Lepisosteus oculatus: one gene and its partners. The protein of the gene in region 1 purifies or fractionates together with the protein of each later gene. This does not show direct contact. Links are inferred from orthologs where the notes say so. Each region holds a gene or a part of one and is shown on either strand. Other genes may lie near its edges. The genes, in order: phlpp1, akt1, wdr48a and Na(+)/H(+) exchange regulatory cofactor NHE-RF2.

Evidence for each region.
Region 2: the proteins of phlpp1 (region 1) and akt1 purify together in Homo sapiens (affinity purification with western blotting, with the first as the bait; 3 studies listed by BioGRID). This does not show direct contact. The link is inferred for Lepisosteus oculatus from reciprocal best matches to the Homo sapiens genes PHLPP1 and AKT1.
Region 3: the proteins of phlpp1 (region 1) and wdr48a purify together in Homo sapiens (affinity purification with mass spectrometry; 5 studies listed by BioGRID and IntAct, with this or other methods). This does not show direct contact. The link is inferred for Lepisosteus oculatus from reciprocal best matches to the Homo sapiens genes PHLPP1 and WDR48.
Region 4: the proteins of phlpp1 (region 1) and Na(+)/H(+) exchange regulatory cofactor NHE-RF2 purify together in Homo sapiens (affinity purification with mass spectrometry; 3 studies listed by BioGRID and IntAct, with this or other methods). This does not show direct contact. The link is inferred for Lepisosteus oculatus from reciprocal best matches to the Homo sapiens genes PHLPP1 and NHERF2.

The regions. Positions count from the first base shown.
Region 1 is NC_090701.1:36,367,048-36,374,590, forward strand, and holds the start of phlpp1 (PH domain leucine-rich repeat-containing protein phosphatase 1), read right to left. Parts: upstream 3,148-7,543; 5' UTR 2,940-3,147; coding exon 1,178-2,939; intron 1-1,177. UniProt on the Homo sapiens protein: Protein phosphatase involved in regulation of Akt and PKC signaling.
Region 2 is NC_090703.1:17,257,765-17,265,279, reverse strand, and holds the start of akt1 (RAC-alpha serine/threonine-protein kinase), read right to left. Parts: upstream 3,104-7,515; 5' UTR 2,808-3,103; intron 1-2,807. UniProt on the Homo sapiens protein: AKT1 is one of 3 closely related serine/threonine-protein kinases (AKT1, AKT2 and AKT3) called the AKT kinase, and which regulate many processes including metabolism, proliferation, cell survival, growth and angiogenesis.
Region 3 is NC_090701.1:35,350,307-35,358,451, forward strand, and holds the start of wdr48a (WD repeat-containing protein 48a), read right to left. Parts: upstream 3,015-8,145; 5' UTR 2,961-3,014; coding exon 2,913-2,960; intron 1-2,912. UniProt on the Homo sapiens protein: Regulator of deubiquitinating complexes, which acts as a strong activator of USP1, USP12 and USP46. Enhances the USP1-mediated deubiquitination of FANCD2; USP1 being almost inactive by itself.
Region 4 is NC_090714.1:2,507,308-2,515,026, forward strand, and holds the start of Na(+)/H(+) exchange regulatory cofactor NHE-RF2, read right to left. Parts: upstream 3,110-7,719; 5' UTR 2,491-3,109; coding exon 2,284-2,490; intron 165-2,283; coding exon 1-164. Other genes in the region: nthl1 (endonuclease III-like protein 1), read right to left, coding at 6,977-7,145, 7,398-7,503.

The DNA of each region.
Region 1 (7,543 bases):
TTTTTATACATATATTATTTTCTAATGAACACTAAAAGATCAATCATAGCTAATGGCATCACGCAAAACGAATCTAGTTTCACATGACATGTAGGCCTAAAGGGATTTATTCTCCTACTTTCTTATCCCTCACCTTTTACAAGTGGATTAAATTAAAACCACAAAGCAAACACGGAACTTTGACATCGGCAATAAGCAATAATGGGCAGAATCTAAAGCAACCACAGCACATTTCAGAATACGTTCATAGTTAAAACATGGTTTCTGAAAAACCTCCACACACCCACAAAAGAGTCCTGCAAAGATCTAAAGTGGGATTACCTTCTACAGTTATTCTATACACTACTACAAATGGATGATCTTATTATCCATTTAAAAACAAATTTGGCTACACAAATTTAAACAGGACACAATTTCTGTGTACTCATCCATACAATAAACTATTCCTTCCGTGAATGAACTTTAAAACTCTTTTAAAAAGACTGGATCAGTGAGAAAGTACACAGAGCTCCAATGACATTATGAATCACACTGCTTAAACTTCCGGAGTGCAACATCACTAAATCCTTGCAACCAAGTATAAACTTTCTGTGGTTTGTCAGGTGTCTCGTTATTTTAATGTATTTAAATCTGTTTAAGCATGATTTTAGAAGACTGATATTTAACCTACACTCACACCAATAAATACAAGTCTTAAAACACATTCTGCTGGAATGTACTGAAATCAAATGCAAATTGACTTATCCTGGATTGCGTGAGTTGAGTTATTCAATACAAATTCCGGACAATGAAACTACACATCCCCTCACGTCTACACGGTCTCTTCCAGGAGCCAGCGACCTGCACCTGCTGCCTCCAGATGCCGCGGCGATAAAAAAGCCGATCGGCCACCAAGACGACCCACTGGCTGCCCAGGCAAAAGTTAATCTTTTATTAATGACAGAGGTACTGCAGGCGTCTAGGCTTACACTAGCGGCAGCTCGGGAAAGGCAGTGCTCGGCCCAGGTCGAACACAAACCTCGCCAAACTTAAAAACACCCTCTTCTTTCTGGCTGGGATACAACTGTAGCTGCCGCGCACAATTAAAGCTGTTCGTAACGGCCAAAAAATGCGACCCATTTAACTGCAAACACAACTGGCTATGCGACGTAAAAATGTTTCCAAATCATCCATTTACCTGCGTAGAAACGTATCATACAGCCTATCTCGGCGTCCATCCCTTCTTCCTGCACCCTCCACGGGTCTTTAAATCCCAGTTTAAAGAGGTAGTCATTCTGTATCTGAAGGGGCTTTTCTTCGGGCTCCAGCCGCCTCGCTGCTTCGCCGTGCAGCTGGACGTACAATGTCGGGGCAGAGGAGCAGCGGTCAGACCCCAACTCCGCTGTCCAGGTGGAGGTGTGCCTGGCGGCGCCCTTGCCTGTCAGGCTGGGCCTGGGCTGACACTGGCCGCCGCTACAGGGAAGTTTGGCCGAGCTGAGCGGGTCGTGTCTGACGCCTGGTCCCCGGTCAGCCACCGCTCCGTTGGGAAGCTCACAGCCGCACAGCCTGTTGCCGACTGCGTTGTTGTTATTCGAGATGGCGCTGCCGCTTTCTCGGGCAACCTGCTGCAACTCCTGGGCAATGGAGCTGGGCAGCTGACTGTCCAGATCCAGCTCGTCGGAGGAACTCCCGAAACCGTCGAGCCCCTCCGGTGCGCTGTCCAAGCTCGGGCTGAGGCTGGTGGACGTATCCGTACCCAGGATGATGCCATCGCTGAACGAGTCCCGGTGGTCGGCGAGCTGGGCCGCAGCGCTGAGCTCCTCGCAGGTGCTGCTGTCCACATCCGAAGGAGAGTTTGGTCCGCAACTTTCCTCTGCGCCGCGTACAAGCGCGGCATCGGCGGCAGGTGACATCAAGTCGACGTCGGCGTTTGAATTGGTATCCGAAGAAGGGCTGGTAAAATTCTTCCGCTCCGACTGCGGGTTTACTCTGGAAGAATCAGTCTCCAGTTGCTGCCGCTTGTGGCTCTTCCTGCTCTCCGCCAGCGGCAACCTCAGCCTTTCTGCCGGGGGGGATGCCAGGCCTTCCCTGCACTCCGCATGTTTCGCGGAGTTGAAATGACCAAGTTGGTCAGGACCGTCCGCCACTTCCACGACCTCCGGGCTGGCACTGGGGGAGCGCAGCCTCTGCTGGGCACCGCTGCCCACCCGTCTGCCGTTGCAGGTGCCGTTTAAGTCTGTCGTGGGGCTCCCTTTGCCGACCAGTTTCACCACGGCTCCTCCTTTGCTGCCGAGTTGGTTCAGCCGCCGCGCTATCTCCCCGGCGCTGGTTTCCAGTGTGCACAAAACTGGCCTGAGGTACGAGGGCACAAGTTTGTCGTGGACGTGTAAGCAACCCCGCTGGAGGTCCGCTCTCACCCATTCCCGATCTGCCGGCTGCAGTTGCATGACCTGACGGTGCCTCAGTAGCATCTTTCGATCCAGGCTCCGTGTGCTCAGGGCGGAGGACGAAGCGGAGCTCATGTGGCTCCCGGAGGAGGCAGAGGCTGAGGCTGCAGCTGCAGCCGAGAGATTTCTCTTCAGTCGTCTCCTCCTAAGCAGCAGTGAGTTAGTGTTACTGGCCAAACCTGAAGCACTCGTGGTTGCAGGAAGAGAAGGATTTGTACTAGTTTTACCAGTGGCCGCTTGAACCTGATGATTTCCATTGCTGGTTGCTACGTGAAGGAGAGGGGCAGATGTCCCTCGGAGACCCCCACTCTCCGCTTTCGACCCGCCGCCTCCGCCATCATCCACCGCCGCTGCAGCCCCACTACCAGCGGTAGTGAAGCTGGATCCTTTCTTCAATTTACCGGCATGGCTTATTTTGCCAGTTTCAGAGTCCGAAGCAGCTGTCCCGACCGCTGTGGAAGAGCCATCCAGTGCCAACCTGCCGTCCAACACCACAGCCCGCGCACTTTCCATTTTACGTGAGTGGAAATAACGAAGAAAATACACTTAATGTGTTAATTAAAAAAATAATACACAAGCAAAACTGCGCAGGCTGGCCACTCACTCCGGGTCTTACGCCATTGTAAATCCAGTTGGTTCGTTTCTTGCTTTTCTCAGAGCCGCTCGGCAGCTGCCGAAACCGCCATCATGGAGACTGTGGCAGGAGAAACTCAAGCGTAAGTAAAAAGCAAAGGGGGGCGCGTCAGTCCCTCATTAATTATAAAATTATATGCGGGAATATTAAATGAATGTCGACAGACATCCTACGTCAGCGGAACTCTGTTTATATTCATAAGGTGACATCTTAAAGAGGAGGGTCTAAAATGTGGGAGGCTGTTTCGAAAAGAGCTTTGTGTAAACATCTTTCGTTTTCCGACACTGCCCCCCTCAGGAAAGGTGGAACTATTCAAGCAGAAAACGACATATTCTAAAAGTCGTCAGAAACTTTCTATTTCGAAACCATGAACGTGCTGTGTTTTTTTACACCTGCTTTTCAATGTCTGCGCATATTCACCCGGCTGTTGAAAAAAAAAAGGCTGTAGTGTGGAGGTGTGCGGGTAGTAAGGAACAAGAAGACTTTAATCCCGCAAAAGTGAAAAGAAAGAAGAAATACGTAATGTTTCGGTTGTGAAGAGTTTTTCAGGTGTGTGATCGTATTGTTTTCATCTCGAGATCTTCTTGTTCCAATTGTTAAAATAAGCTAAAAGCATTCAGCGTTGTTAAAAAAACTTGAACGCTTGAAACCGCTTTGGTAAAACATTGTTAGGACCCAAACTCATACACTAAAAACAATAACGAAGACCATTTTACAGATGTGTGAATGCTAGTGGACTGTTACATAATATAACGCAGCGTTTGCTTACTTTTATCTTTTGCGTAAAGACGAGCCATTTTAGTGTTTTCAGTTGCAGAAAGTAAATATGTAAAAGCATGAATATCGGTACACAACTTGCTCTCTAAAAACCAGATAACCTGGAAAACAACCTGGAGACAACCCTGGAAAACTGGAATATTAAAGCAAGTACAAAAAATATTTTACGACATCCAGACAGCAGCAAATGTCGTAGAGCAGTTGAGCTATTTTAGCGGTCAAAGTTGAAAGTAGCTTTTAAATAACTATATTGAGGATTGATAGTCGTAAACATTACAGATCTTGCTCTGTGACCTTCCTGTACCTTTTGACAAAGACAACTGCAAAGCCCTTGCTGTTAAGAGTACATTTTGTACTAATATACTAGTATGTTACCAACATGTAATGTAAAACCTCAAAGATATAAAAAAAACATTACTTAGATTTACTTAACACTTTATGTGTTATGAATGAAAGTCTTTCTTTTGAAGCACATGCATTTTAGAATTGGTTATACACTGTCGGTTACAATTGAGATACTTGCATATGAGTAGCTACAGACAAAAAAGAATCCTGCTTCTTTGGTTTCCAGTAGTTCGTCGGTCTCAGTCTACTCCTGCCATTTCTTGAATGATACTCGTGAGGTGAGCATCCTTCCGGACCTCCACATGACCCTGTGTGGCATCTTAACGTCTGGCCTTATACTTGTGGCACCAATAAATCATACTTATATCATCCAGCTCAAAGTAGTCCGTTTGACTGACCTAATCAAACAAAACCCTTCTGTAAACTGTATAGTTTTAATACTACTTAAAGTTTTAGTAGTTCACTATATATCCAAGCATCCTTGATCTTTTTTTAAATCCCTTCTGCGAGTTCTTTACAGGAGGATAATACTCAATTATACCTCAACAGATCAAATATCGAAATACACTTTCTTGTTGAAATTAATCATTTCTTCGTTAAACCAAAGTTTAAAGTAGCCGCCCACATTTAAAGCTCCGTGAAGTTAATACTTGCGGCAGCCTGTTGCTCTCAAATACGTCTGCACTTTGGTAGGACATCACAAGATGCCATTTACAGTGCAGGTGAGTAATTGCTGCTGTATATCAAGAGACCGGGTGTCAAAGAATATGAAACCAGCTTGTGACTGTGGACGACGTTTTCTTTCTCGTGAACCACTTCGACCTGTTTAGGGACTGGTGGAGGTTGTTTTGAGAGACATCCAAACATCCATACGTTATTAGCAAGATCCTGGTAAGGATCGGAGCAGCACGGCCTATCCCTGAAACATTAGGAGCAAAGCATAAATATATCTCGGATTCCGAGTGATACTTTTAAGATATGCGTCAGGAGTACGTTTGACATTAGTGACATCTAGTGGTTAAGATGAGAAAGAAAAAGAAAATTGTTTTTCCGAAAGTTTCAGAACGTTAATTCTTCATTCTAAAATATTTTTTTAAATACTTAATTTTATATGTCTCATCTCATATAAAGTAAAAACACAACCTTTACCATTACAAAATAAATACAAGATATTTAATGAAAATGCAACGCTTAAACATATACTGTTATCAGTACGATTCTAAAAGAGCACAAATATAGACTTTCAGATAACAAAAGGCCCTTAAGCACTTTTGGAAGAGAATTCCAGCCTTGATGTATAAAAGCAGAATGCACCATCATCACAGATTAATTTAAAAAGGGGGTAAGTTACAAAATCATAGACAACACACTGCAGACTATAAAAGACATGCCACTAATGTAAACTGTAGTAATATCCTTCACAGCCTCATATGTGAGAAGGATAATTCATTACTGGATTCCAAAGGGAGCCTATACAGTAAAGTGATACTTAAACAGATGTTACCTACTTACTGGATCTGTGTATGTGCATTACTATGATGCATTATGTGCATTTTTTATTGCAATTGAAAAAATATCAGCTGATGACTGCCCCAGTCTACACAATTCAGTAGGTTGGTGTGTTCTTTTGACTTACCTCAACACATTAAGGAATTCAAGCACTTTATTAAGCACTGCATACCCACACTTCCAAATTAAAGGTAGCTGAAAAGCCTCAAGACACTACAGCAATAGTATAATGGCTTCTGTTCTACCGTTCAAAGCAGAGGACCAACTATCACCTCTCCTCTCCCTTATGGGTACCAGAGCCATGGTAGAGCACCAGGGTATAGCTGCTGAGCTGCTGTAGCTCTCTCTCCTACAGAGTCCCCTCTCTCAGCAGAGGAAGTAAATTTGGACAGGCCATCTGCTTATGGGAAGATCTGTTGGTGTAGGGCTGGGTATGGTACAGTTGTTTCTTCTCTTAAGTTGGTGAACCTATTTTTCCCATAAATTGGTGCTGTTTGTACCAGTTTTAATTCAAGGTGTGTGTCCTTGAGCCCTTCAGTCCTGAAAACCCTCTGAATCTGGGGGGCTACATTATATCTGTATGATTTTAATTTAACCGACATTCTTGCCAGATAAGATCACACACAGACCAAATAGTGATTTGTTGGGACCTACCAACATATAGGCCTTTGACAGTATGCTACATAACTGAGGTAAGAGACCCAAGCACACACCCTCAAACCTAGGGACAGTTTTCCCAGAAGCCATTTATTCTAACAGTATGTCTTTGGACTATGGGTGGAAACCAGAGCACCCAGAGAAAACCTATGCAAACACATGGAAAACATTCAAACTCCACATAGATAGCACCCCAGGTTCAGAATTTAACCCAGGGCCTCAGAGCTGCAAGGTAGTGATGTTAAGCACTGCTCCACCATGCCACCCCAACGCTGCAGCAATGTTGCTTAAGTTGTGTTTTTTTTGCTGATTAAGCTTGTGGTCCCTGCAGCCAGGTGAATGTTGGTTACCACAGTGTACAACCCATAAAAAAAAAAACGTTTTCCTACAATTAACTATTATATACATTAGTGCCATAAAATATGTATTTTAACACTGTTCACTTACAAATATCTTAAGATTTAAAAAGTAATGTCCTGGTGTCCCCATTTTGTTAACCATTATATTGTTATGCTTTTTAAATGTTGGTTAAATGAAAGCAGAGTTGGATTCAATATTATGTGACATATAGTATGTTACACTGCCAACATCCAGGCAATTAGCAAAACATACTTGGAAATGATTGGAATAATTAAAATTACTTTTTGCTTTTCATATAACTGTTGGAAACTGGCTATATGAAAGAAACACTGTGTGAAACGTAAAACTACTGGAAATACTAGTAATGCCAAAGACCTGAAGAGTGATGATCTTGAATTTTATTGTAACCCTTTTCTATTCACTGGTTTAGTAGCATATTACACTATAATGTTGCCTTCTAATAAACTTGGAAATAATATATCATGGATAACCTTGGCCTTTTTTCTCTCTCTGTGCTTCAACTCTTATTCTCCAAAATATGTCATGATCATCATCATCACATCCCGTTCACTTACTTAACTGTAACTAAGTGTAACTACTAACTACTCATTGGTGCAAGACAGGATGGATATATCCTAAATGGGACCCTAGTCCATCACAGGGCACACGTGGACACAGACATGCACACACTCACAGCAGCACCAAATTTACAGAAGCCAATTAACCTACCAAAGTTTCTTTGGACTGTGTGAGGAAACTCAACATTGGAGAACTCTAAATCCACACCGGTAGCACCCTGGGAACTGGGTGCTGTGAGGCAGCAATGCTAACAGTG
Region 2 (7,515 bases), on another chromosome or scaffold:
AAAGCTACAGGCTAAATATTACTTTGCGGGTATTTTACTTTTGTTATAGTCAGGCTACTGCTACATGGTAGTTAAAATCACTATGGTAATGGTGGCACACTGTACTACATTGGTGTAGAGAGGACAGATCCAGTCCATGTCTTCGACACACTCAGTTTGATAAGCTTATAGAGGAGCACTAATGTAGCACCCAGGCTCCTGGGATTTAGGAAGGACACCCAATTAGTTATACACGTGCATCTGCAAACTCTCCTAATATTTATTAATATCATGTGCAATGTGAATACAAAGGCCTGCTGCATGCAAAGTTCTCAAGGCCCAAATTTAAACTATACCAGGATTGACAGTATTGTACACCAAAGTCTCTCAGAGCTATCCCAGCATTCTAGGATTTCACAACAAAGAAAAATCCTTCCAACTCACTGTGAGTGATGAAGACTGTCTGGCCATTTAGTGAGAAGTAAATGTCATAATACACAACCTCCGACTGGGAGGTGAAAATGGCTTTGAACTTTCCAAAGCTGAGAAGGCAATTTTAACTGGAAAGCCTTGTTTTTAAATAAAAATGGGCAAAATTCCTCAGTTGGTCTACTCAACAGAGGAAAGAGGAACCTTTCAAATAGATCCTTTTTAACACATCACACTAACTAAAAAAATGCAGATGAGTACCTGTGGTAAATCCAGGTTGTTGTTTGCTAATGCAAATGAACTCAGCCTCTAATGAAACTGAAATAATTTTCAGGGAATGTAAGCAGAAAGCAGAGACACCCCGAGTAGGAACTCACAAAAGAGTGTGACTTGTGGTCTTGAAAGATGAAGAAGTTATCACAATTTCAATTGAAATAGCCTCTCAAAGACTCAGATGCTACATGTTAACATCCCTCTAAAGAGGCTCCAGTGTCTGATTTTAGATGTATAATGTAAGAGTGAATATCCTCAGTCTATCAGAAACTACTTTTTAGTTGCACTCCTCAGGTTTATGGGCATTCTCCAAATCAAAAAGGACTGTACAATTTTCAAATGACTGCATGATGTAAGACTAATTATGACACTGCTGCATCACCTTTCTGATGGAAACCTCCATCACTGTACCTCCCTGACTGATATTGGACCACATTCACTACATAGCTACTTTCTGCACAATGCAACACATAAAAGAGAACTCAGGTTTGTTTGTTTTGGTTTTTTTTTGCTTTATGACTATAGCTACTTTGCTATTTGCCATTAATAGGGTTAGGTTTCAAAAGGGATATAACTGATAAAGCAATAATATTAGTAAAATGCTGATGTGCAAACTGAGCATGTTGTTACTTATTTGACTTGAGAGTGCAGTGTAATTGTGGTAGAGAAAATTGTGCTACACTGCCGACTAAAATTTTAAAGAGTGCTCCATTTTTATGTTTGTCACGATAGTACGACGAAACAAAAAGTACAATCACAGAAACGGTTGATAATGTTCGTTTTTTTCTCACTATCAGATTTTCTCGAGATAAAGCTGCTGTGGATTTTAAAGCCCATTTGTTGATATTGGCAAGAATCCTTAGGTTCTCCAGCGTGAACTTACTACAGGATTGCCGAATAAAAAATGAATCAGACAGCTCGTTCTAATATAACAACACTTCAGTACTGCTGTGGGAGACCTGTCTTCTACTGCCCACGTGCTAATGTCATTTATCATAACCCTGTGATTACTCTTCGTCATTTCTGAAAAACTAAGACAATGGTGAATTTGCTATTTAGTAGAAATCTTGGCTATAATTTATCGAGCACTTATTATTCAACTTGGGTAACAGTCTATTGCAAAAACTGAAATTAACTCAGATTAAGTTAGGGTTCGAGATCGTGCATAGGCGTAAGATGTCAGTAACGTTTCCAGACAGCGCTTCATAAAACCGATTATTTACACTAAACGTCAGGCAGTAGCAAAACGTAGCATTCCCCCGTAGGACGTAAACATTTGCAGATATAAAGACAACTGTTTTGGTATTTGAAATGCATTGCTACCTAATTAAATGTTTATGGCGCCAAACCTTAAACATAAGAGTTGAGATATAAATATTTATCTAAATATATATATATTCTAACAATATCTTGCACGGACGGATCAAAAGACGTTCTTTTTTATATAAGAAACGCCAGTAAAAATGTAAGGCTGTTGTAAAAAGCAAAAGGTCTTAAAGCGACACGATCTAGAAAAGACCCAAATGCAAAGGCAATATCGGAAAATCGATTCCTGTTGCTCTGAAGAGAGAGAACAAATCTGCAAAACGGCCACTGAAGTTTGTCTTTTAAATCGCTTGTTACTGAAGCTGTATTTACTTTACTCAGTGAAGTGAGGAAACAAACACTGAGTGGACTTTTAAATTCAAACTGAGGCTTCGGAGATGTGCGTTTAAATTCAAACTTCCACAGAGTGCAGAGAAAGGCGAGAGATACAACCATCGGCCTAGACATCTCAGAAGCGATCACGACGGTGTACAATACAAAAAAAAATGACCAATTAAAAATCAAGAGAATTTTTCAAGAATTAAATTCTCAGCGGTAAAGCCTAACAGAACACCAAAGTTTGGGTAGTGAAGTAACTTCGTTACAAAGCAGAAAATAACGTAAAGTAAAATGCGCTGAAGAATTCGGAATATAGTACATATATTTTTATCTTATTTTGCTAGTTTTTGACTGGGCTCTGGGCCTAGCCAGGGCAGCCTGGGTGAGAAATAGCCGCATCCCATTCACTACAATGGGATTTTGCCTCTATGGCTGCATTCGGGCACAGACCAAAAGCAATCAGTAAAAATGCAACACTTTACCTGCTCCAAGGTTTCACAAGTGACTTCGGGTCATTATTATGGACGCCCTACGCGTTTTATTAAGCTGCTATGTCCTTCAATAGTCTGCAAAATTCTTCTCATTTACTCCGTTTCTCTTGCTGGTTCTTCCACTACACCTCCCAAGCCTGGTCTCTCTATTGCTCCTGTGTCACACAGTCCTTTCTCTCCCGGGTCCTAAAGCCGACAGATCAATGCTCTTTCACCTTATTTGCCTTTTCCCCAACTCGGAAAGGTTCACTTTCCGCCGGCTGCCTTGCTTTGTAAGAATGAAGAATGATGACTCTTCATGCCTCCACTCAGCGGGATTTAAGCAAATAGCCAGTACCCTAACGCATACACCACAACAAACGTTATTTAACCACCCTTAGAAAAATACATATTTGTGTAACAGGATTCTTCAAATCAAGTCAGCATTTAAAAGCCTCCAATAGCAAAGAACTGTAAACGGCAAAATTCCCCTCTAGCACCTAAAATCAGTTTATCAGGTTCAATAACAACACGCTGACTGTGCGCTTTTTAGCTTTTTTTTTACTTCCTTACCAAATTTTAACATCTAGTTTCACCTTCATTGCACCAGCAAATTCCAGATATGACAACGGTAGATAATACTTGGTTTAATCCCCCTAACTGGTCTGGTGGAATCCTCATATCACAATTTGTAACTCCAAGAATTTCCGACTGACTTTGGTGGTTAGTTTTTTTTTTTATTGACACCTGTTAATTTTTAACTAATAATCAGGACAGAACCTTAAATGTTCAGAAACATTCTAAAAACAGGAAATATACTGTATATTCACCTCACCACCACCATTCCACAAATTGACAAATAAAATGCATGTGTTGAGAACATCAGTGTGCTTATGTCATTTGAAGTGAATCAGACTGTAGATTTATTCATATTCTGGCTACTGTGCCTAACATGTCTTGAAGCAGAAGGAATTATTAGTTACCTTAAAAAGTTATATTTTTTTATTACTATTTCTCTTTGCCACTCCGGTTAAAACTATTTAAAGTACACACATTTCACATGCATACATGTTTCAGCTAAAATCTAAGAAATTGTATTTCACAGTCACACTGGTTAGGATAGAAAAAACAAAAATGTAACCTGAAACATACTGCAGTATGATGAAAAATATTTTATGTTTATGTCAGTTTATAGTATTTAAATATATCCACAATAATTGCATAATGGAACAAGTAATAGGTTTATTCCGTGCTGAAAAGAGAAGAAAGAAAACACAACGTTTCAGCTGTGAAGCCTTCTTCGGGTGTGAGCCAAAATGTTGAGTTTTCTTTCTTCTCTTTTCAGCATGGAATAAACCTATTACTTGTTCCTTTGCAGCCTACGCATGCTGGGGCAGCTTCCCACCCGAAATAATAATGGTTTGGTTTCTATGATCTAGGTATATTCACATTGTCATTTATAACCAGCAGATACATTTCTAATTATGTAGTGCAGATCAAGTGATTTTTAAAAACAAAACCTAATGATTGGAGCTGTCTCTTGGGTATTCACCAGATATTTTAATACAGAATATGTGAAACACACCTGCTGAAAAAAACGTTAGTAAAAATGTAATAATAATTGATGACTTGATAGCCTCTTTCTATCATTATTCTGCATCACTTCAATATTCAGAAGACACCTAATCCTTGTGATCTAGACATACAATTAATTAATTCAAATATGTCTCAGAGCAGCGCTAAGGCAATTAATTAAGCTGAAGCAAACTAATTAGTTGTGATTGTGAGGCTAGGGGAAGAAATGTTTGAAAAGAACAGAAGAACAAAAGCTCTGGTTTTGGAATTAACATCTTAAAAAATAGAAACCAAAGATTTATAGTCTCAAATTAGATAGTATGATGTCACATATGACTACATCTGGTTATTATTAAGTTGCTTTTTTGATAGTCAGTGAATGTAACAATTGGTGCACAGCTGTCTGTGATACAGTTAAAATGAATGAAAATAATGAGTATAAATCAGAACTACACTACCAAAAATACTTTCTAAATATGTATGTCACCTTTTTTGGTAACAGACAGTCAAGATAGATCTCTTTTCTGGCAACCCTAGTATCTGAAACTGCCCACACATGTAAAGAGCATCCTGTAATTGTGGGAAGTACCACCCCCCTCCCCCTCTAAAGTTATGCAGTGCATTTCCATTTTCAGTTTCGAATAGTCAGGTATTCTTAGAAGTAGGAGTCGTGTGATGAATTCGGCCAAAATGCTGGGTTTTCCGAGATGTGCGTCTACTCTTCTGAGGAAATCCCCTGACTGAAACGGTGACCAGAAAGCTCCAAGACAAGAGGCTGCAGTCAACAGCATCCAAACTCCCTTTTTTCTATTGTGCCACAAGCTGGAGACTGGGGTTGTACAGAATAAAACAGCTGAAAAGTGAGGATTTCAAACAACTCCAAGGACATTTTAAGTGCCCGCAAGCACTAGTCCTAATGACTGACAATGATCTTTTGAAGTTCACTGTAACAGATCAATGGCATAAAGACCCTGGGATATAGCTGACCTTCCAAATAAATAAAAAATATTGCTGCTTAGTCCTTAGTTGTCCTTCCTGATGGTTAAGCAATCTTTGCCCAAGGATATCATTATTATTTTAACAATTCAGTTTTCCATTGTATGGGTTTTATCAATTGTAGCACACTGTATTTATGTTAAAACAATGTTTTTTTATTTATGTTTAGGACACTGTTTCTATTGTTAAAACTAGGGCGAATTTGTCGGTTGCTGCAGAATTTAAAAAATATCAGACAGATGTGAAATTGTATTTGTTGTGACACACCGTTAGCAAAAAACAAATTTGAAGTGTGGCACTGAGAGAAAAATGCTAAACAGCATCACAACATTGTTTTTGATAGAACCAGTATAAAGACCAGGATAATACTTAAAATAGAGATCCTGCACATAAACCATTACACTTTAAGAATTTAACACTGACACTATAGTTTGACTTCACTATGATTCTAAACATACTGTTAACATGCTTTTTGTTTGGCATTAATGAGCTTTGTCATACATCCATCACTGCAATTCCACAGAAAAATAAAACCCTGGAAGAAAACCTGTCTGTCTGGCTTTGTGAATTAGTAGCTTTTCCTTGTGCTGGTGACTCCTGAAATCAGTCAAGTACATTAAAGGATAGAAGTTGTGCTTGACAACTAAGCAAAGCTTCCTCCCATAACTGGCAGCACAAGTGCCAAACATCAGCACTCTGGTCCATTCGGAACACATCATGGTTCCCTTCCTGCCACTTTTACTACATGGTCATTTTTGTACCACTGTGTCTCCCTCCATGCACATATCTCAGCTGTCTATTTTTTTCACTGTAAAAAGTATCACAGCTCCACATATAAAAATGACTATTAAGCATTTTCAGGGGGAATGTCTGAGTCAGCAGTACAAGGAAAAAGGACATAAACAGGGAACAATAAAAAGACAGGGAAGAAGGATAGAAGGAAAAATAGACAAACACTGCACACCTGAGTTTGGAATAATGGTGCCTGGTGCCTTTATAAATTCAGGCGTGTAAGAGTGCAATGGTGATGGACCACATCTGGCACAGGCTTAATGATGATCAAAAAGCAAACCACTAATGTAGGCTACAGCTATGGGTACGCTTTAGTGCAAACATCATACAACTGCATAGCAACAGCAAAACTACTGTCCTTTATTATTGAATTTTATAGTACCCTGATGAATAATTTGTGCATAAATGTTTATGCAGATTATGCCATTGAGCCACATCAGCTGGTTTGCATTGGCACCCAGTCAGTAGTGCAATCAGAGCTGAAAATGTAGTAGCACTTGGAAGCGACAAACATGATTTCTATTCTCACTACATGTTTAAATTATTTTAAAATGGGCTCAAAGTTGGAAGAATGTGCTTGCTTAAGGCAACAGCAGGCTTTTCCAAAGGGGTGGTGGCTATTTTTTTTTTGCTTTAAAAATCACTTGGTTCTGTTTATTCGGACACATTTTTAAAAGAGATTTCGTACTGCAGCTGTAGTAACTGTTCAGCTGGAGTTCGGCGATGCTGATAAAATGATACAGGTAGACATACAAAGCTGCTGTGCAAATTTATAACAGCTTACTAGTGTAGTGCCTCAGGCTTGAGCGCTATGACTTGATAGCAGATTCCATAGGAATGTGAGCCCTTTGTTCCCCCCTCACAAGGAATGTATTGTGGTAACACTGGTGGGGAATGCTATTGATGGTAACAAGAAAGAATGCATCTCCAGGAAGCCCATTCCCATGTGAGAAACCACACCGCTCGTACTCTGCCAGACCTTGGGCAGTCCAGCCCAGCCCCAAAGCACAACTGTTGCTTTGTTCGCCCACACTTTCAAGCCAGACAGTCAGTGTTGAAAATAAGAGGGTCACATTCACCAAGGATCGTGCACCCACAACTGTCATTTGCACCCATTTGTGTTATGGCAACTCATGTCTCCGTTGTATGAGCAGAACTGTACTTTGCATTTTGATTGATCCATTTTCTCACAGTGTCGTGATTTCTCTTCAGTGGCTTATAGTACTGTATGTAAACTTATTAACAAACTGGGTAGTGTCAATCATTCTGCACATCTATTTTACCTAGCTCCACGATTCTTAAAAAATTAGTATTGGAAAACATTTTTTTTACTTTAAAGTTTATTCATTAGTATAAG
Region 3 (8,145 bases), about 1.0 Mb from region 1:
TTTCCATTACTTCTTCCCTGTCAAACTGTCTGTGACATTGTAGCTCTTAATCAGTTTGGGGAGAGAGGCCCTGTGCAGTGAAGCCCATTTCTCCATAATGGTCTGAGGCAGAGACATCCAATGAAGTGTAGTGTACATTTATTAATGGGCGCTGATTTTTCTTTCAAGAAAAAATACCCCTACAAATTGAAATACTGAGCAAAAATGAATATAAAACACCCAAAACAACTGTTAGTACACCTTGTCAAATGATTCTCCAGTTTCTGTTATGATACACACTTGCTACCAAACAACGGCCCATCTCTTCTTTTTTCCTGATGAAAACATTTTGCACTTAATGACCAGATAACTTTATCTCGACAGATAAGGACGTTCAGGTTCCAACATCCTGGGATACATTACGTATCGCAGAAACCAGACTCACCGCCTTCTCTTTCAGATTTCTTCCAGTTATTACTGGGGTTTTGTAAAGAAGGTGTAGAGTTCACAAATGGTAAAACCTCAACATGTCCTGGCCATGGAAAAAAATGAGTTAATGGCTTAGTGGTCAGCACACGCAATGTAGGGCTTCAAGAGATAAAATGTATTGATATGGTGAGAAGTGCTATAAACAGTCTCTTATCAGGCGTTTGCAATCGCAACAATTTACAGAGGCCTCCAGCTTTATTCTTTCACCTAATCAAATAAGAGATAGAACACAGAACAAAAAGATTTATGGAATGAATAATGTGTCTTGCTTAAAAAAATCCTAAAAATGTTACATTGCAGTGTTGATAGCATTGCACAAAGCAAAGTCAAATTTATCAGACGACCAGAAAACACACCAGTCAAATTAATTCAGAAACCGAAAAATCTTTCATATATCCTCCCTCTGCATGGATTGTAAAGATAGGTCTCCTAGTATTGTGCCATGAGGGTTCTGGCATTTCCTCCAGGTATGGAATTTTGGCCATTCCCCCAGGCAGCATTGCTCTTGGTCCTTTACATCCTTTGGTATGTAAAGGACCTTCAGGCTCACACCTGAAGAAGGCTCCACGGCCGAAACGTTGTGTTCTCTTTCTTCTTTTTTTCAGCATGGAATAAACCTATTACTTGATCCTTTGGTATATATTTGTGAACTGCTTTCTTGAATTTAAACTACAATCATTCCAGTGCATTGAGGTCAGGAGATTGATCCGACCAGTCAAGAACACAGAAAGCAGAGTTTTCTAAAAACACACATGTATAGATTGGTGCATTTCTTTTAATGCTCTCATTTTAATATACAAAAGATACATTTGGACTATTGCAGCTTTACTTGTAGAGTATAACACATACAAATGTACAGTACATCTGAATACTTTAAAGCAAGAGAATTGCTACATTTTACCACAGTAAGCACTTTAATCAGTCTTACGATTGTCATTTAAATCAAGTCCATGTCCAAAATCAAGAAAAAAAAATCTGTTAATGTCTTGGTTTCATTAAAACTAAAGGACAATTTAATAATGAAATGTGTACCAGACACTAAATCATTAAAAGACCAACTTTTCTGTATTTACTACGGTTTCACATTGTGTTTCTTAACATGAGTACCAAAATATTTTAGTCACTGTTAAGTATCTGTACATAAACTCCTGCATCAATCAAGTCAAACTCAAGCAAATAAATGACAGTATCACAAAAGACACTAGTAGTGAGTAATATTTCTGAAGAGATAAAGTCAGGGGAGTATGCTGCCTCTAGAAACATGCCTTTCCATTATGGAATCTGAAATAACGAAGTACATTTGGATCATACAGCAGGACCTACTGATCTAAAAACAGTAATTCCCAATCCTAGTCCCAGAGAAACCTTGTTTTGAACACTGAAATTAGTTGACTTTCTAAAAACTCAAAACTCAGCTCTATGCAAGCAATCATCTTTCAGAATTCATGTCATCTAGATGTACTGTTTCAAGGTGGAATTTAACCAATGGGTTTATACAGTGCTAAGAATATTTAATCTTAGACGAGTGCCTGTCTTTCCCATTTGTGTCTTTACATTGACCGATAATAATCTTCACTCAAACATCAAACAAATACATCAATTAGGGTTTCAGTACTAATGAAGTAACGACTAATGAAGCATTCAATTAGAACAAAAATGAGCAAGACAGGGAAATATTAACCTAAAACCATCATCTTCAATTAATGCCACCCTTCTGTGAATACCTGTATAATATAATATACACTGTTTTCATATTCATAACTGCACATACACGTATAAATACGTATCACAGATCACCTACAGAGACAGGTATTTTAACGAAACATACCACGATATGTAACAAATTTACCATTTGGGAATAATTCAATTGGTGTCACCTGGATCGAAATTACTGTCCTAATCTAAATAGGTTAAGGTCATCAAAAAATATAAAGAAAAAAAACTTTCGGTATCATATAAACCATATTTCGCTATTCAACAAATCTTAACAGATCTGTGTTCCGCGATTAATACTGTACATCTAAACACGGATTCAACGACTAGTACTGTGAGAACCATTGAATTAACAGCTAGTTGCATAGAACCGCCAAGAACCCGGGCCTTTCAAAATCTACCTTTTCTCACAGATTTAAACGAGACCTGAATGATTTATCGATTATGCGGTGATCAGCGATCCTTCTGGCTCATACGCTCAATATAAAGCTGAACCCCATTAGTCGAGCATTGCAATGCAGTACAGTTTCTAAATGTTGCAGCTACAGTACACTCATCCTCTAAGTGAACACCACCTGCCCTATTCCAGCCACATCAATGCAACTGTTCATACGAACGTCTTTTTATCTCGTTTCGCATGTTCTACACATCCTTACCCAGGGTCACTGTACTAAATTAAACCTGTACCCTTCACTCCACATACTGAGATCCGATGAAAAAACAGATTTTACCTGCACTTTTCTCCGCCCAGCAGCATTCTGCCTGTGATGAGCCGCCATCTTACATGTTGACAGCTCTACGTCACTTCCACCAAGGAACGAAGGCGTAATCTTCCGGATGGGCCTTGTCAATCAAACGAAAAACTCTGACGCTAAATGGGAGTCTTGTTACCATATAATAGAGAAAAGATGAGAATTAAACAATGCCATTAAGAACCCCATTCTGGAAAAAATATTAATAATAGATGGTCTCGTGATTCATGTCTCTCTGCGTATTACATTGAAAATAAAATCTGTAATTAGACGTGTAATTATTTTGCTATGAACTTGGCAAATCGTTTTCCTAACGAAAAAAAAACATTAATCGTTGTTGTGACTTCAATATATATCGGTGTGTGATTTTCGTAAAACAGATTATACGGTTCCTGTATCATAAAATAATATAAGAACAGTAGTTTATAAAAAAGGACGCTCGTCTTCCACCGTAAAATAACTGCGTCACTAATCGCAGATCTACGGTCACCGTAAAGTTGATTGGGGCGATAGGAGTGCACCGAAAGGAGACGCTGTACCTGTTCTGTCAAAAGCATGGAGATCCGTACCTGAACTATGTTTTTATTTTGCATTTTTTATCTAAATTAAGGGAAGTCAATTATGATATTTCTAGACAGGTTATAAGTCATCGTGCAACTAATGTACGGGAATACAGCACATTCATTGAATGGAGAAAGTACATAGTGTATCGGTATTTCCTTGTTCCATTGATAAACCCCAAACCCTCCCAGCTGGAAGATAATGGAATTACTGTTTAGGCACATTCTGTACGATCGGTCCAAATTATGTTCAATCTATGAAATAACGAAGGTGGCTTGTATGTTTAGATTTTGTCATGTAAAAGCTGAGATCAATATTCATAAACGTAGCATACATTTGTAGTGAAACAAATTATTATCTAGGTGGGTGCTGCACAGTGGTGGTGGTGGAGGGGAGTCCCCATTACCTGTAATGTCGAGGATAGAAGGAGAAACAATATAAGTAAAATAATTTAATTTTCAGAAGTTATTTTTTATGGAAACATATAAGGTTAGCTATTCCATCTCTTTTTATAATGAGTTTTTTTTTTCCAGTGGGGAATCAAAACATGCACTACAAAAGCTGAACTGTGTAATACCCCCAGGAATGACGTATTAACCCTTCAAGACGACTATGCTTCTTTTCCCACTTGTTAGAGTGAAAAAAATATAAAATTATAAAACCAGATTATCATTATATAAAAACATTTGTAATTATTTATCAATAGGCTTCCAGTGGACAAAAGACAAACTGCTTGCTTGTTATTTATACACACTGTATTATTATTTGAATGTGCGATACTGAAATATATACATTTTTTGTTTGGTCATTGTTATGTGATAGAAAAATAGTCACCTAATTATACAATTATACCACACTGAGTTATACATTATTACAATTCATTGATTGTTTTAAAACTTGAGTTTCATCATGGATAAAGCCATCAGTAAAATAGTAACAACAACAACAACAATAATAATAATAATAATAATAATAATAATAATAATAATAATTTCTTACACTTACAAAGCGCTTTTCTGGACACTCCACTCAAAGTGCTTTACAGGTAATGGGGACTCCCCTCCACCACCACCAATGTGCAGCCCCACCTGGATGATGCGATGTATATGAAATTATTCTAATGCCCATGGTTTATACTCATTTTTAAGTCCAGGTAACTATTAGTTATGTATTCATCAGCATCTTTAAAAATCAAGAATAAAACTACAGAAAATTAAGGACAGGTGTGTGGAATATGATGCACTAATTTAAAGGTATGGTGCCTAGTACAAAGTACTTAACTAAGGTCATGGATCTGCTGATATTTTAAAAAAATATCTGGTTGCCATCTGTCTATGCCCAATGGTCTAGCCATTCTGATAGTGGTGTGTGAGCAGTCACAGCCTTCTTAACTCTGTATCTGTTTTTATTTTGTCTTCTTGATTGCTCAGGTATTAAAAATCTGATATATATAAGGTACATTAAATTGATTCTAGTGTGTTTTAATTGCATTAGTCTGCCATTTTTAAAACCATGTTTGTAGAATAAAAAAGCACATTGATTTCTTAATTTAACACTCAAAATAAATCCTTTAGTTCTTGTGGCTAGCCTATTCCCAACCACAACAATGTGATATGTGCAATATGAACTCAACATGCTGTCCTATTATTCTGATTAAAGACCAATCCCTTTCATTCACATTCATGTTGTTTTCTGTATTTTCCTTTGGAAATGTCAGAAAGAGCCATACATTTTAAAAACATAATTCAGAAAAGAGTATCATCACATTAAAAAAGAGCAACTCAAATCCAGATGTCCTCTCACAGTTTATCTAGAGCAGAGCAGAGACAGATGTGCCTTCTCTTCCGCTGCAATGATCATGTTAAACACTGAGATTAAAAATTACTCTTTTTTTTTGTCTGGGAATAATGCCGAGCTGCATATTTACTAAGTAAGCCTGTCTGACCTTGTTATTTAGACCTAAAATGTTAAGAGATCACTTTTGCCAGGCAAAACAACATCTTTATGCTAAGAATTGTAGATACGTATATAAAAAACACACTATTTCTCTGTAAAGCATTCCATATGATGTAGACCCTACTTCTTGATTCCACTTCCAATATGTTATGTTTCTGCCTCAGACTCCAAACTCCTTCTCCCCTTAAGGCAGGTCTAGGAAAAAAGTTAAACAAGGCAGATGTTTTAATTCATGTTTTATTTATCTTATATATTTTGATCCCAGTTTTGCCCTGTTACTCAGTTAACTGCTATGACCCATGTACCAACATGGAGGAAATGAGGACAATGCTAGCTTTCTTTCAGACCAAATAATACTGAGATATTCATCATTCTACACACTGGACTAAAAATAAAAGAATGCATATAAATAAGAGGCAACCATTTGAGCTATTTAGCCTATTTGGTAGTACAGTAGCTAAATAATTTGATGATCCCCTATGTCTTTTTTTTAGGGTATCGGTTTTTACAATATGATTAAGTATTGTAGCTCACCTGCCTCCCACAAGGCTTTGTATAAAGACATGCCTTCACCTTAGTTACTGTTTGGATCCTCTGATTTGTGTTACAGTACCTTGCTAAGAAACCCATAAGGCTGACTTTGTCAATACCTTGAAGTTTTCAGTGCTTGAACCAGATCTCTGCATAGTTTGCTCCATTTGAAACTAAAAGGTTTAGTTTTTTTAGGCTACAGGAGTAGTACATTCTTTTGAGACTAGCTCAGCAGGATCTTTGTTTCCAGAACAGCAAGACCTTTTTAGTAAAGACTAAAAGTGTACAAAAAAAACAAACTTTCCATCCATTGAATAATATTTCTTTTGAAGCTTTTCCATTACTGACAGAAAAAAAAATGTTATGATATAATTAGCTGAACTTCTTAGCACAATCTTGCAATTACTGTAATATGGTGCACTAATAAATACACACTACATGCTTATTTTTAGAATAAATTATGAATAGTATTTTATTACTACATTTCAGAAAGAACTATATTACTTTTTATAGATATGCCATCACTTTTTTAAATCAAATACCGTACACTGTTTTTGACATATTATAACATAAATCCATATTAAAGTTTTATGGATTTATGTTATACTCTCTGCAAAAATATATAATGTACCAAAAATCTGGCTTTTTTAAATGATCTTCTACTCCATTCTAATCAGTAATAAAGTTGTCTAAATACCTCAGAAATTAAGTTCAAATTCAAAATACAGTTGTTGTTTTTTTTTTCAAATCAAGACTTCGGCTTTGGTTTTTAATTCCTCATCTGGCTTTTAAATTCCCACCCTGTATCACCACCTGTGACTGGGATTCCCCAAGTGACTATGCACAAATGGTTGAGTGCCACCAGGGGCAGAGTGAGATAAGTTGACTTTCTCGGCTGTTGTTGACACGGCAACCCCTTTGGTTTCACAGGTACGGGCAGACTCTCTTCCAGTGAGCACTGAACCTTCAGTACAGGTCTGTGTTGTCTGTGACACGTTATAAAATGAATGGCTCAAAGATGGCAGGTGAGAGGAGTCGAGCTGCACTTCCTCATTCTCTCCTGTGGCTATGGGAATTGTAGCCATAAGCAGAGACATGAAAAGCACAACAGGCAAAATTATTTGACATTTTATTGTTCCCAAAATGTTTTATTTTTCCAAAGTATGAACATTTCCAATATCATTTCCATTACCAAACATTTCCACTGTCAAACTTGTGTGCTTTTTAGAAGACTGTCACAGTCATGAAAACCACTTATGTATGTAGGATCCCCTTGGAGCTGTGCTGTAACCAGGGACAGTGCTCCTAGAAGCTTCTAGAAGCCAGTTAATCTAAAAGTACAGTATGTCTTTGAGCTGTGGGAAGAAAATGGAGCACTCAGAGGAAATCAAAGCAAACATGGAAAGAAAATACAGACTCCACACAGACTAATTGAACCAAGGGTCCCAACTCAGCAAAGCAGAAACGTTTAATTTAAATAAAACGCCATTATGTTCACAAAAAATGCTTACATTGTAATGATATCCTCATATTGTCTATCGGAATTGACTATCTTTGTGTCCCAGTGACACATTTTCAGAAAGAAAATGCAAGAATATCTGAAACAATGTAATTCATGAACTTCATAAACTGGTTTGTCAACTATATAACCTCTATAGTTCGTGATTACTCATTCATCTGTCAGATGGGATTGATTGTAACAAAAATGCATAATTGCTAATATATAATTCAGTAATTTAACCATAAGTGGATATCCAGTAAACTCATAACTGACTTTTTCCAAGAATCTCTCTCATCAACACATGCTGGGGAATCATAATGTCTAATCACTTCGCCTCTCACTTTACAGGCAGGTATCATACTGTTGATAGCCATTATCAGTGGTTTTCCTAAAGATCTTTTTATCCCAAAGGCATATGAACTCTGTCTTCCTAAAGCTTGTGGAATTCCATTTGTAATAACCTGCCAGGACATGCAGTATATCTTTGTCTTTGGTGTAATGTAGTGTAATTATTTTCTGTTAAAACATAATCAAGTTGCATGGTTATCTGCAACTTCAGAGCAAATTCCCTGTGCACTGTGTAACATGGGCGATAAAGTATTGTATCCGCACCTGCTACATTTGTAGAGCAGTGGCAGAAAATAAAAAAGAAGAGAAAATGAA
Region 4 (7,719 bases), on another chromosome or scaffold:
TTCTCCTTCTTGCTGGGCGGCGGCCTGGGCGTGGGCCCCGAGACGGCGCCGCGTGCCATGTCCTCGCTGCAGGTCAGCCGGGCGCCCTTCAGATACTCATCCGTTTCTCTGTCCACCACCAGCAGCCGCGTCTCGCTCTCCAGGGCCTTGATTCTCTGCACCACCTGCAGCCGAAGGAGGACAGCGGGGGCTGAGGCTGCTGCGAGGCCCACTCCCACCGGGGTTTTACATGATTAAATAATTAAATATCATTAAATTAGGTACAAGGAAAAGTCCTCCTTCCGCTCTGCAGACAAATATGGAAAGCTCACCAAAAATACAGCATAAGGAGCAGTGGACCATTTTCGCTCCGAGCTGAAAATGTGTCAACATTGCTGACAAAGCATTCTTATGTCGGTATCTCCTTATGGGACAAAATGTGGAATATTTAGGTTTAGAAGTTGGCCAGAATCTGATACAACTATAAAAACAACAATAATTCCTGCTTTGGTTCTGACAGAACATCCAAATTGCACATTCCAGCAAAATAAAAAAGACCAAGGGTCTGTTTTGGATTTGTTTACTACAGAGGAGGCAGTTTACACCCTGACAAAATAAGGATCTGAGAGTAAAACGAACTTTGAAACTGATTAAAGTAAACCAGATGACATGTATGGAAAGCCACAAAGAAATGAAGTCTACTGTAGGTATGCCACAGTCTGCCACAAGGAGCAGTAACATTCTTGATTGAACCCACCAATTGAATTTATTGAGTCTCCACTTGGAAGCTGTTAATCCCCAGTTTAATAGGCCCTTATCTCCCCTCACAAGGGTGAATGACTCCAAAAACACAAAGCAGAGAGAGGAAAGAATGTAAATACTCCCATGGAGTGACTCTATTCCCTAGGAGAGTGCCAGCTCTTGTCTTTGATTCATGGGGTTTGGTGAGGACTTTAATATGAAGCATCTAATAGCTCATTTAACAAAACACCCTTCTTTAATGTGCAAAGACTTTTTGGGATTTCAAAGTTCAGACTATCCTTGTCATTACTGACAATAAAAAAAAAATGTCTCACCTGCTAAAGAAAACAGAATTATTATTTTTTTGTGTTTCTTAATGAGCTGGTCAGTTCACTAAGATTCCTGTAGACTCACCTTGAGTGCCAAGATGGCTAATACAGCTTTCTAACAATACTAACAGACAAATAAATGTAATGTATTCACCTATAATGTAATCATTGCATACTAATTTTTCACCTAATTTGTCAGACTAAGGGCTCATTAAGTTATAATTATTTTCTGCATTTTTATTTTGTGATTAAACAGAGACAGGAGAAAATCTCTTCCCTGCAAACCGAGTCCCAGAGCAAAAGAGGGAGCAAAGCAAGACTGATTGGAAACTAAAGTTTTTTCGTTGGACAAAAAAAGCACAGCACAAGCACTCCAATTGATAAATGAGAATGGCACCAGTTGTTAAACTAAAATACTACTAAAAATGCTGAACGATATACAACAACGTATATGACCTTTCAGTAATCCATACAGGTGTTAAAAAAATGTAACACTTTTTCTATGTGGCAAAACAAAACATTTTGACAATGAAGCTACAAAGTATTTGAGGAGTTACGTCCTGAGAACTACTACATGAACGATTATTTTATGTGCTGAACTGTCCCTTCCTTGGAGACAATTTCTCCCTGCACACAATGGTTCTGTGCTGGTACGGCCAACTGCACGGAGCAAACAAACACCCGTTTGTTGTGGCATCAGTCATTTGTCTTCACAATAACTTCCTTGGCTATGCGTAGAAATTGAAAGAATAAAGCATTTCGTTTGTTACGAGGAAACCGAACTCAAATAATATAAACAATGTCATATGATGACATTTATTTAAGAACCGAAAGCTTCCACTGAATTCTCTAGGACCTAGGGCATTCCCAATAAACCAAGCAGAAAGGTTTCAATTTACAGTAACTTCGGGTGTTCAAGCGCTTTTTAAAGGGCACACCAAGCTAAATGCAGTGCCAATAAAACCCAGAGTTCGGTTAAAAAGGTTGGTCAGATCTAACCTGCCCTCAGCTTTCCAGTTCATACCACCGGGCAGGTCTTGATACGCGCACGGTACTGCAATTTCCAACGTTATTTGGGCAAAGAAATGACGGCATTAGCGCAAAAAAGATGGGGTCTGGGCACAGTTTCTGGGAACATTGGCTGCTTCATCACCGTCACAAAATACGACCGAAGAAAGGTCTAACCAAAGGCTGTGGGGGCAACGGGATGTTCAGATAGTGTTTCGGCACTTACTTGGTGATGCGTTTCTTTTTCCACGTTGTCACCGTTCACCTCCACCACCCGGTCCCCTGCTCGGAGCCCAGCAGCCTCCGCGGGTGAGCCCAGCTCCACTTTGCGTATGTACTGGCCACTTTTCCCTTTCTCGCCGTGCAAATGAAAACCATACCCATTCTCCCCTTTCGTCATGAAACAAAGCCGCGGTTTCAGCTCCTTGGTCATGTTTGTCACCAGACCAATTTCTGCGTTTTCACTTTTTGTTATCCACCTGAAGACTACTGTCGTCCTCTCCCAGTGCACGTCCGCCCGACTGCTCGCTCGACGCAGTCCCTTTAAACTTGCTGCCGATAATTTTCCAAAGACCCGAAATGTGAGGATTATCGCTAGGGATTTTCAAAACATTGACCACAAAAACGAAAAACGCACAGGATGAAAGTTCCTTAGGTTAAAAGTATATCCACAGGCGTTTAACATTCTTTAATAACAAACCACAAGTGTGAGGCGTAATCCCAGTGGTGGTCGTCTAGAGAACAGCAACAGGTAACCGGTTTCCAGTTTGTTTTGCGTGTGTAAGTTTTTTTTCCCTTCGCTATTTTACGGAATCGATGGATTTCGCGGCATAACGGACTCCGTTTTTTTAAGTTTTCCCCCTTGTTGGGCTGCTGTCATTTTGAACTACATGAGGCTCCAGGCCATGAACAGAAACTAGCTCAAGCGCTCCTTCCGTGCTCCATCCGCAACACTCAGCTGGGGAATTAGGATTCAATTACACGACAAGGTTTAAGTAAATAGATGTGTCGCTTAGATCTGTTACAGCTCAACAGCACCACCGCCCTACCAAATGGCTGCTTTAAAAAAAAAATAAAACAAGATCTCGACATCAGTTCCACTCTCTGACCACTCTGTGAACTAATGACAGTCCTTTCAAAGATGTTATCCTAACCAAAGGCTTAAGACTTAACTGAAAATCTTTTGTTGTGGGTACTTTTCTTACCTTTGGATTCTTTTTTTTTACAGATGGATTTATTCTACATCAGTTTTTATATGTAAAGTCTCTGTTTTTTAAAGGTTTTAAAATACGTAAAAAGTTCGGACCATGCGTAAAAGCGCGAGCACTGAAATTCTTTTTCGCGATCACGTTCACTATTTTATTAATGTGCTGGTGCATTTCTCCAGTGACGTGACAGAAAGAACCATAATTTCTGTATTTTGATCAGGAAAAGCGCTAAAACACAAATAAGTTCAGCTGAGATCGCTTATCTACAATAAGCTACTGTATTTAGTGTAATATTCCAGTAAACTACTATTGCATTAAAATAACCCAAGAATTCACATAAAACAAACAGGAGCTATATATTTTCATGAGGGTAGCTGCATCAGCATGCGTAGGCTGCAAAGGAACAAGTAATAGGTTTATTCCATGCTGAAAAGAGAAGAAAGAATACACAGCGTTTCGGCCGTGGAGCCCCTCCTGAAGAAGGCTCCACGGCCGAAACGTTGTGTTTTTTCTTCTCTTTTCAGCATGGAATAAAAGGAGTCATATTTGTAAAACTATTTCATGGGATATTGTGTTATAGTTACTGTATCTGTACAGAACGTGTATTCTGAGGTAATGCGATTTTGAGTGCGTTTTTCTACCGAAAAATGCCATTTTGTTTTACGAATAATAGCAAGTCGTTTATTGTTATTAATTGAAGCAATTAATTTCGCTATGTGCCACTTTCTCTGGGCTGTTATTGCACCCGGGTCTCGGGGAAACGTGCGGCAAGTGTCAGCGACTCGTGCCTGAGGAGATGACTGGGCTGTCGGGAGAGCAGCTTCCTGAGCCGGGGAGTAACAGACAACGCTCAAGACATCCTAGAAAAATAAAGGTGCGGCTCTTTTCGTTTAGGTAAACTAGTAACTGACTCAGTAACTGACTTTTTTTTGCATACCAGACAAGTTAAAAGATTCTACTAGGTCGCTACAAAACTCAGAAATCTACTTGGTATGAAATGATCTCAATTTGCCCGTTGAACATTTTTAAATGAGATTGGTAAATATTATTCGAAATAAAACCTTTTTTATTTATTGTAAACTATAGACATGTAGCACATTATTGTCTGCAATGCCGATTTACAGAAGGAATCGACTAGAAGTTTTCAAGTGTCAACATCTATTACGTTTTGCTACTTTTCTCGTGTGCACTTTCGTTGGTGTACTGCCACATGCTGGAAAACACGCGTAACCGCTCTCGTAAAATGTCGACGTTACGGTAGGTCGGCGCACATGTACTTTTTTATCAGTTTCTTTTTATCTTTAGTTCAGCGGATACTAGGCCACAGGCGTTAAAATAAAACAATTAACCATAACAGTAACACAACAGATTTAAGATGATATAGGGTTACTACACGTGAAAAAATCAAACGCACAGAAAACATTTGGGGAACAAGAATAAGAGTCAATTTCAGGACAGGTTAAGCTATTTGAAAATCCCTCCCGGACATTGATTTAAGGAACTAAAAGGAAGACATGATAACCCTCCATACTATAACACGTTGTATACTGTACATACACTACAGACCTTAATGTACTTCTGCATCTAGACATCAATTACATGTAACCTACTTTATATACCATAATTCTGTGCAAATTAAATGAAACTGCTCTTTAATTGGCAGAACAATTGTAGGGATAGTCAAAATACCGTCTTCTGTGGCTCTACCATTCCACGCGCTCAATTTAAAAATATTACGGTGGTTTCGGAACTAAAATAAATGGGCAGTTAACGCTTAAATTGCTTTCAGAAGGCTTACCCGTTTTCACCCGAAGCAGTTTTTAATGAAGATGGTCATGTAAAAAGTTAAGCTAACATATAAAATCATAATGTGATGTTCACACCATGTCGAATAATTATAAACATATTTTAAAACGTACAAAACCAGCGGAAGTACCAATAATTCTGAGGTTCAAGGAGTCTGGAGATATACTAATGAGAATCAAATCTTACCATAAGGCAAAGCTGGGGATGTTTAACAAAGCTCACAAAACTATTTAACATATTTTAATTTTGCTTTAAAAAAATGTCTACCACAACCCCGTTTCTTAAATCAGATTATTTGCATGACCTTTTAAACGTCCATGTGAAAGCATGAGGTTTAAATGAATGTAGAAGTGTTACCATGTGCCATTACAAATATATGCAGCACGACAAACAATATAAAAGTAATACATCAATAATAAATGAATACATTAGCAGATAGTCAACTTACATAATTAACAAAGGCTTAACAACTGAGGTAATCAATTTAATCTTGGCAAATGTGGTGCAGAAATTAGCAAGGTAGGTGTTTTTTATTGTAATAGCAAGTTATCCTTATTTACTACAAAAACTGCCTGGTAATAAAATACCACAGACACATTTTCAAAGATAAGCCAGGAGCAATCAGTGAAGTACAGGTTTCTCTCCAATGTTTATTTCGTAGAAAGAATGATTGAAAAAATATTTACAGAGGAACAGAACATTGGACTGTAAATGACTGTTACTGTTTATTTTCTAAGGAAAGGATGTTTTATCAAACTTCCCTACAAATAGTTTTTTTTATCAGACACTTCAATTATAAGTGGAAAAAACAAACAATTTCCAAAAGAACAAGGAGAATCATTTGGATACAACGTTTTCTTCAAGCCAAAACAAAGAGTTCTGAGTTATAATGTGACACATAAGCTTCGTTTCCAATGACATCTGGCTTTTTCCCCACTACAGGTTTTTCGATAAAGATAAAGTCTTGTGGCAGCACTTGAAACACTGAACGAGAACAAACCATTACAGATAACTGTGATGATTAAAAACCTCAATGTCCCCTGGACAATTGGTATGAAAACCCGGGTCCAAGTGAGTGTGATTTTCGGCACATTCTCGGAGGAAACAAAACAAAAGACACCTGTAAACACCTCCAGTCCTGCAGCCCAACCCAGTTGAAACTGGCAATACTCCTTTATAAGAGTGCTACAGGAGTGGACGAGAGGGAAGACGTGGGTATTTGACCTCCCTGAGACTCTGTTAACCCCTCTGTTTCAGTTAGTGTAAGCCTCAGGTGTCTGGGTCAGACACCTCTGTGAAAGAAATGCCTTTGTTTCCTCCCACACCACATATCAGTGTGATACTGGGATCCAGTTTTATGTTTAACTGCTGCTGCGGTTTCTATGCATTGACTTTTATTCCTCATACATCTTGGTCCCTATAATACTCAACTAAACTAACATTCATCCATCTGCTAATCAATAGGTCAATATGGGATAAGTCACAGGGGAGCCGGAGCCTATCCTACAAGCAATGGGCACAAGGCGGGATGCTCCTCGGATGGGACGTGCAGAAGCAAACACACACACACACACACACGCCAGGGCCAGTCCTCCCAGAAGCTAATTCACACACCAGTACGTCTTAGGCAGGAAACCAGAGCACCCAGAGGCAACCCACGCGGACATGGGGAGAACGTGCAAGCTCCACACAGACAGCACCCCGGGGATTGAACCCAGGGCCCCCGGGGGCCGCGCACAGCAGAGCTCACCACTGCGCCACACGGGCCACCCTCCTGAATTGGCAATCAAAACAAAATCCACGTCCCCGATGAAAAGAAACAATTGGCTAATGAGGAAAACGTTTGGAAAACTGGCACGAGTATCCCTTGTCTTGAGATAAAAGGCAAATGTACGCTAGTAGACTTTAGGAGTAGGGGTCTTTGGAAGGGGGCTCATGGCTCCTCTTCTTGTTGTAGCTGTTGGCATAGGGGCAGCTGTCCTTATTAAGGCAGTCTGAGCACAGCGGGTTTATTGGCAGGCACACCTGCTGGCCAAAACCAACTAACAGCCAGTTGATTTCACTCCAGAGGTCCCTGAAATAGATTACTAGGATTAGTAAATGTCGGCAGAAGCACTGCTTCCAGACAACTAGAGAAGGTGGCAGAGACTTATCGCATTATTTAATTTGTGGCGTACCCAAAAAACGAAACTTTGGCAGATTTTTTTATTTTAGTGATCAAAAAGTAGTGAACAAAACTGTCAACCCCACAGAACACTTCTGTCCCTTTACAGATAAGGGACAGTAACTAGGCCTCCAAGCTGTGGCTGGCAAGCTGTGCAGTTACCTTGGCAACCAGTCTTCCAATGCGACTCTGGTCTCCTCGGGAGTCTTTGTGCTTTTCTTCACCCATCCCAGCCTGTTGGCGATCCGATGGACATGTGTATCCACTCCTGGAAGACACAGATGCCTTTGCAGGTCGGGAACAGAGAAGCGCGAGTTTGCTTTAAGGGCCCACGATAAAGGTGGACCGGAAAACATGAGTCATGGGACATACAGGCAGTCATCATCTGTCCCTGCATTTTACAAAATCGCAAAAAAAGACAGGAAGGGTTCTGTTTTTCTATGGCAGCTTCCCAGTCTCAGCCTCTGGACTTTTGATTTCCATT